Cricetulus griseus: one gene and its partner. The protein of the gene in region 1 interacts with the protein of each later gene in a pairwise test. Links are inferred from orthologs where the notes say so. Each region holds a gene or a part of one and is shown in the gene's direction. Other genes may lie near its edges. The genes, in order: Exoc1 and Sptan1.

What was found.
Region 2: the proteins of Exoc1 (region 1) and Sptan1 interact in a two-hybrid assay, tested with the Homo sapiens proteins (2 studies listed by BioGRID and IntAct). The link is inferred for Cricetulus griseus from reciprocal best matches to the Homo sapiens genes EXOC1 and SPTAN1.

The regions. Positions count from the first base shown.
Region 1 is NW_023276807.1:142,974,817-142,978,637, forward strand, and holds part of Exoc1 (exocyst complex component 1), read left to right. Parts: intron 1-1,801; exon of another isoform or gene 1,802-2,009; intron 2,010-2,732; 5' UTR 2,733-2,742; coding exon 2,743-2,866; intron 2,867-3,818; coding exon 3,819-3,821.
Region 2 is NC_048599.1:141,660,577-141,664,397, forward strand, and holds part of Sptan1 (spectrin alpha chain, non-erythrocytic 1), read left to right. Parts: intron 1-443; coding exon 444-579; intron 580-1,495; coding exon 1,496-1,597; intron 1,598-2,330; coding exon 2,331-2,468; intron 2,469-3,576; coding exon 3,577-3,687; intron 3,688-3,821. UniProt on the Homo sapiens protein: Fodrin, which seems to be involved in secretion, interacts with calmodulin in a calcium-dependent manner and is thus candidate for the calcium-dependent movement of the cytoskeleton at the membrane.

The DNA.
Region 1 (3,821 bases):
TGGCAGTGATGCGACACACACAGCTTTTTCTGCTGGCTAGTGGCCTTAGAGAAGTAAAGAACAAACGCTGTTTATGGAGATTGATGATGGAGAATAAATTGGCCTGCAAGTATGGTTAAAATGATCAAAGGGGATAGCTACTGTGGGTATAGGGAAATGAGTGCCACCTCCAGGCTGGCTTGGGAAAGAAGTTAGACACCTAAGGCTCGCGATGAGGTGGATGAAGGATGGAGATGGAAGGTGTAGGTTAGATGAGAAAAAGTTTTGCACTTGGAATATGGATAGAAGCTTCACAGAGTAAAGTGTAGAAGAGGCACAGTTTGTAGGATTTCTACAAAGAAGTCATTGTCCTATAAAAATTTAATTAAAGCTCATGTTTTCTTCCTTTTCCCATCGAAAGAAATGGTATTGTAAGAAATTAATCTCAAAGGCACATTTGCATTGGAAAATAGTAGATACATAAAAGGAAAAGCATTTAAATTATTCTCATTAACAATTGAAGTTTTTTTAAGTAAAACTACTTTATTATTTAAATCTAGGCAGGAATATACAATATCAAAATTTCAGGAGAAAAAATTCTGAACATTAAGAGTAAGTGTAAAAATGTTCTAATATGCTTATATTCTCCATTTGCCTTTTCCTTCATTCATTCACTGTATTGTGGGGCACTTCCCATAGCTTTTTAAAAAATAATATAAAACTATTCTGTATTTTATTCAATATTTAGGTTTTAAACATTTTTAACATTTTTTATTAATTTATTTTTTACATTCCAATCCCAGTTCCCTCTCCCTCCTCCCCTCTCGATCTCCCCCATCCCTCTCCCCCAGTTCTCCTGTCCTCAGAGAGGGTAAGGCCTCCCCTAGGAAGTCTACTAAGTCTGTCCCATCATCTCATTGAGGCAGGACCAGGGCACCTCCCCACCCCCAGACCCCTGTGTCTAGCCTTAGCAAGGTGTCTCTTCATATAGAATAGGCTCCACTAATTCAGTTTGTGCATTAGAGATAGATCTTGGACCCACTACCAGTGGCCTCATATATTGTTCCAGTCACACCATTGTCACCTGTATTAAGGGAGTCTAGTTCAGTCTTATGCAGGTTCCCCATTTGTCAGACAGGAGTCAGGAAGATTTTTTAAAATTAATTTAATGTTTGAAGAAAGACTGAATTAGATGAGAAGAAAAGAAATGGAAAGCTACTTTTACAGTGATCTTATGTGTAATTCACTTATAAGATTTCCCCACTTGGTGTCCTATCATTATTTAGTATATTCACAAGTTTTTACACCATCAAACTAAGTGAAGAACGTTTTTCTCTCCCCATTAGCAGCTGTTTCTACTTTTCATTGCCATCTCCTAGCAACTGCTCATCTTTCTGTCTTCATGAATTTTTTTTTCCCCATTTCATTATCTGTCCATTGATGAACATTTGACTTGCTCCTACTTTTTGGCTACTGCAAAATGTAGTTCACCTTCTGTGTCTGCAGGTTCCAAATCCATTCATTGAACCAGCCACCAAATGAAGATATTTGGGGGAAAATGGTTTTTGTGTTGAGCAAGTATGGAGTTGTTTTTTGTTGTTGTTGTTTTTTATCTTTAAACAATACAAATAACAAGCCTTATATAGCATTTGCATTGCATTTGGAATTGTAAATAGTCTAGAGATGATACAAATCTGTAGATTATATTCTAGCATTCTATGTTAAGGACCTTAGACATCTGTGGGTTTGGTATCTATAGGGGGCCCTGGAGATGGTGCCTCCCCACATATACTGAGGTTGGTTGTCATGTTTCTGTGAACACTCACATGTGAGTTTTTCTGTGAATATCTTTTCATAATTTCTTTTGGGAGCTGTGTGCTAGATAACAATGGTAGTTGCATGCATGACTTTGAAGACCCCACCAGACTGTTTTCTGAAGCAATCCCACCAGCTGTATGGAAGAGGCTCCTTCATCAGTACTTCTGTTGCGATCCTTTTGATCCTTTTTAGCTTCCGAACATGTGAAAGTAGTAGGTATCTCACTGTGGATTTCATTTGTGTTTCCCAAGTGGTCTATGATATGGAATGGTTTTGGTTTCTTTTATGAGTCTGCCAAAAGCCAAAGAGCAGCTCCATACAGTTTTCCTTAAGGCATCATCCATCCCCTCCCCCTTTTTTAGACATGGTCTCTCACCAGACTGGCACTCCACAAATAAGTGAGGCAATGGTCAGTGAACCCCAGGGGTCTGCTTGACTCTGTCTTCTCAGTGCTAGGTTAAAAGCAGGGCTCACCATGCACTGCTTGTTGTGTGAGCTTTAGAGGTCAAACAAGATGGGGCTTGTGTCATTCTTGTGAGGAAGCGCTTTACCAACAGAGCTATTGCCCCAGCCCAATACTGAACACTTTTTTTGTATATTTATTGACTATTTGTATGTGTTGTATGTGTTTGTGTGTGCATATATGTATGTATGTGTATGTATGGATATGAGTATATATATGATTATTTGTGTCTGTGTTTCCACTTTAAGTGTTGTTGAGCACTTGGAAAGATTTTTTTACTGTGACAATACTAGTTTTTTTCTGATTCATTTCCAAACTTGTAGCCTCATGCTTTTATGATGTACATATATTAATATATTTATGTGTTTACTAATGAAGACTTAATCATTTGAGTTGTAAATGGAACAGTTTATGAGGGAAGGCAGAGATTTTGATAATGAGCACAATACCTCTATCCTAAATTCTTTTTCAGCTGAGAAAAGATGACAGCGATCAAGCACGCGTTACAGAGAGATATCTTCACTCCGAATGATGAGCGCCTGCTGAGCATTGTGAATGTCTGCAAAGCAGGCAAAAAGAAAAAGAACTGTTTTCTGTGTGCTACAGGTGGGCATTTTTTAAGCAAAAATATGTACTTGATAATCCTTCATTCCTTAGGGTCATTTCTTTCTTTTAAAAGTATTTTCATTGTTTCTATAACTGGAGAAAATTATTGAACTGACAAATTAATTTTTAATTGTTTCTATTGAATATTTAGTGTGTGTAAAAAAAATTTTATATAGTGTAAGATGAGAGCTCCAGTATCTTTGAATTGCCATCGTCTTCCTTACTCCATTCCACTTTACAGCAACAGGTGTCTGGTCTCCTGAATCTTACCATGTTCCCCATGTATGATTTCCAACTATATATTATTTTGTTTTGCTTATCTTTAAACTTTTAATTAATTGAATTATAATTCTTTGTGACCCCTCCCATTCAACAGTACCTTCATGAGCATTTTGTTCATAATTGTTATTGTTTGGAGAACCATTTGCTTTTCAAATGTATCAGCATCCATTCCAAATCTAAACTCCATTTGTTGCCAGAGTCATGTTTTGAAACTAGAAACTAGAGCATTCTGTTTCTGTAATAGCAGCTCGTACTGCCTTAGATGGAGCCCTTGAAGAACTCAGCACCGTCTTTTGTGGTAATTTCATTTCCATCCACCTTCTATTACACTGTGAGGCCTGCATTGGATCATTTCCTCTTGCTCTTTGTGATGACATTAGGCTCTTTCAGGACTCTGCACTTACACATGTCAATCATTAAATTTCCCTCCTACGCCCTTTAAAACAGGTCCTAAGCTATACCTCTCAAGGCATCTGTCTGCCTTTGACCTTCTAGTCTGATTTAGATGCTTCCTTTAGGATTCTGTGAATTCCTCAGTTGACTTATTACAAAATATTGCACTTATTTTAGTGTCACCCTACCAGGCACCTGAAAGTGACATTTACAGTGAGTGAATGAAGATGAGTAGATGACTAAAATTGCTAACAGTCATGTGTATCTTGTTCAACAGTGA
Region 2 (3,821 bases), on another chromosome or scaffold:
TTTATAACTTCATAAATTATTCTCTCCACTATACTTCACTTTGACTGGCAGAATGGAAATACCCCATAGCTATTAGCATCATGTATTAAAACTCAGTAAATGAAGAATTGAAAAGGTAAAGAACACTTCTTTCTCACCTTGAGTTGGCCCTGGGAATAACAGGGAAGTTAAAGATGATGGTGAGTTAGTGGCAGTGACTAGCCAGGACAATATAAGGGGACTCATCTCAAACAGCAAAAAACGTGACACAAGGTGGGAGCCTAAGCATGAACAATATAACCTGTTTTTCTGCCTTTTGCTGTCTTTAAGTTCAGCGAAGTTTTCCTTTCCCGGAACTAGGGTTTGTATGGTTGACATTTGAGAACAGAATTCAGAACTGTAGGAAAGCCATCTTCTGTCCTGGGACCACTACTGAAAGTGACATACTTTTTATTTTTCCCAAGGCTTCAGCGCTTTCTGGCTGACTTTCGTGACCTCACGAGCTGGGTGACTGAAATGAAAGCACTCATCAATGCAGATGAACTGGCGAATGATGTGGCTGGTGCTGAAGCTCTGCTGGATAGGCATCAGGAGCACAAGGTAGTATTTCCATGATCTTGCACAACTCACAGAGAACCTCTTGCCTCTGCGTCCCAAGTGCTGGGATCAAAGGCTTGTACCACTACCACCCTGTTTCAAGAATGTTTTAAAGAACTTGTTAGGTGCGGTGCATAATTTTAATCCCAGCACTGGGGAGACAGAGGCAGATGGACTTTTTAAGTTCCATGCCAGCCTGGTCTGCATAATGAGTTCTATGCCAGTCAGGGCTATCAGTGAGACCCTGCCTCAAGAAAAACAAAAACAAAAACATGTTCATTGAAAGACATTGCAAAAAAGATTGACCACATGAAATGACATCGAATGGATGGTCTTTATGAATGTATACATTCAATTCATTGCCTGTCAAAAGCCCAACAAATCTGTGAGCATTTGCACCGAATAAGCTTAGTCTCAAAAAGCTAAGGCAATTTTGAGGAACATGGTATATGTGGGGGGCCGTGATTCACTTTACCAGGTGCTATAAAATTGTAGTAAACAAGTCCATGTGGCATAAAAAACAATAATGGGCATTGTGAACATGTGGTGGCTTGGTTAATGACATGTGGCCTATAGAGCCGGTGGCAAGCTCTTCTTGGTTGGCTTACACTGACAGCTAGGAAATACTTTGAACCTGCTACTCTGTTTCTTTTCTTTTTCTTTCTTTCTTTCTTTTTTTTTTGTTTTCGTTTTTGTTTTGTTTTGTTTCTTTGAGACAGGGTTTCTCTTTAGCTTTGGAGCCTTTACTGTAGATCAGGCTGGCCTCAAACTCAGAGATCCACCTGCCTCTGTCTCTCAAGTGCTGGAATTAAAGGCATGCTGGAATTAAAGGCATGTGTGCTGCGCGCACACGTGCAGGCCCCCCCCCCTCCCGTTACCATTCAAAAATGCTGAAAATATTCTATCTCTTACTTTACAGGGTGAGATTGATGCTCATGAAGATAGCTTTAAGTCTGCAGATGAGTCTGGGCAGGCTCTGCTCACAGCTGGTCACTATGCCTCAGATGAAGTGAGGGAGAAGGTAAGATAATGAAAAGGGGCTTTTAAAGAGAAAGCCTGGACCATAGAATGCTTCTCTATCCCCGTAGCCAATTAGGGGCCCACCATCAATTTAAAGCACTTATTGGCCCAAGATTTTGCCACAAAGAGGCAACTTTTTCCTATAGAGATTTAATAAAGATGTATGTGACTGGTTGTGGTGGCATATACTTTTAAATTCCAACACTTGGGAGGAAGGGGCAGGCAGGCAGTTCTTTGTCAGTTTGAGGTCAATGTGGTCTATATAGCAAGTTCCAGACCATCTAGAACTTGTTCCCCAAGCTGTATAGAGCCTATCTTGTAGGGAGAAAATATGTATTTGTAATATTTTGTTCCAAGAATTTTTTTTTTCTTTTAAATTTCAAGCATGTGAGAGCCAGTCCTGTTTTAGTAGTTAGAGTGAGTGGGAAACAAATTGTAAAGTGTTTTGGGATGCCCACTCAGTTGACAGCTCTCTATGTCCGTGGTATCACTTTCAGAGTCTTTCATCTACCATCTCCTAGAATGTTTATGATAATATGACAGTAAATTCTAGGTTAGTCAGGATGAGATTCTTGTGGATAGCACACACATGCCAGTTCTGAGGTATTTGTATATTTCTCACAATAAGCTTACATACATTAAGTGCTATTACATGAAGAAATGCCTAAAGCCTAGCATGAGCAACCCCATGTCTCCCAGAAGGTGGAAGGTAATTTTGCTTCCTGTTCCCCAAGCTGAGCATCCTCTCAGAGGAGAGAACCACCCTACTGGAACTGTGGGAGCTTCGGAGGCAGCAGTATGAACAGTGCATGGACTTGCAGCTCTTCTACCGTGATACTGAACAGGTGGACAACTGGATGAGCAAGCAGGAGGTAATGTATCAGGAACCCTACCAGGGAATACAGGGTCATGCCCTACCTCTCCAGTGAGTGCTGGTTTTGTTTCAGGACATCTGAGCCATTGTGATTAGAATGAAGAAGGGAACTAAGCAGGTTTACTTTGGCCCTGTCTGCCTCTGGTATTGCTGAGATAGGAAGGCACTTAAAAGAAAAAATTGTGCAGTACAAAAAAGGTTTCTAAATGTAAAAGAAGCTACGAGAGCTATGTAAGAGCTGGGGTGGTGCCTATTTGCATCATACTCAAAGCTATGGCAGGAGGGTCACAAGTTCAAGGAGCTACCCAGGAAATTAAAGAGCATGTGAACTGCATAGTGAGACCTGTCTCAATATCCTCCCTCCCTTAAAAGAAATAATTAGAAAAGTGGTTGGTAAATATGGCAAGAATCATTTTCCAGTGCTCCTGGTGGATTTTTTGTTTTGTTTTGGCTTTTTCAAGACAGGGTTTTTGTGTAGATTTGGCGCCTATCCTGGCACTGCTGAGGCATCTCTCCATATCTTCACCCCCCCCCCACCCCCGTTGAATTTTTTTATTTTTTATTTTGTTTTATTTATTTATTTATTTATTTATTTTGGCTTTTTCCAGACAGGGTTTCCCTGTGTAGCTTTGGAACCTGTCCCTCTGTAGACCAGGCTGGCCTCGAACTGACAGAGATCCGCCTGCCTCTGCCTTCCGAGTGCTGGGATTAAAGGCGTGTGCCACCAACGTCCAGCCCCTGGTTGATTTTTGAGAGAATATAAAAACTGTAGACTTGGACGGGTGTTGGTGGCGCACGCCTTTAATCCCAACACTTGGGAGGCAGAGGCAAGTAGATCTTTGTGAGTTCGAGACCAGCCTGGTCTACAAGAGCTAGTTCCAGGACAGCCTCCAAAGCCACTGAGAAACTCTGTCTCGAAAAACAAACAAAACAAAACAAAAAAAAAAAAAAAACAATAAAAATAGACTTTGTAGTAGTGATCTGAGAAGTTGGATTTCCATTGAAAATTTCTTGTCTGTGTTTTGTCAAAATCTGCTTTTGCTTGTGGGCTATAGATGAATGAGCATCCCCTGATGCTGCACACACACTTGCTTTCCTTTCTCCAGGCATTCCTGCTAAACGAAGATTTGGGTGACTCCTTAGACAGTGTGGAAGCTCTTCTGAAGAAGCATGAGGACTTTGAGAAATCCCTCAGTGCCCAAGAAGAAAAAATCACAGTAAGACCCTTATTGTCATGTGGTCCACAGAATAAACAATCCCCTTCTGAGAGGTTGGGGAGCTCTCTGCAGAGTACTCCCGGGAACATGTATGACCTCATGATGACATCATTCGATCTTGTACATGTAACACA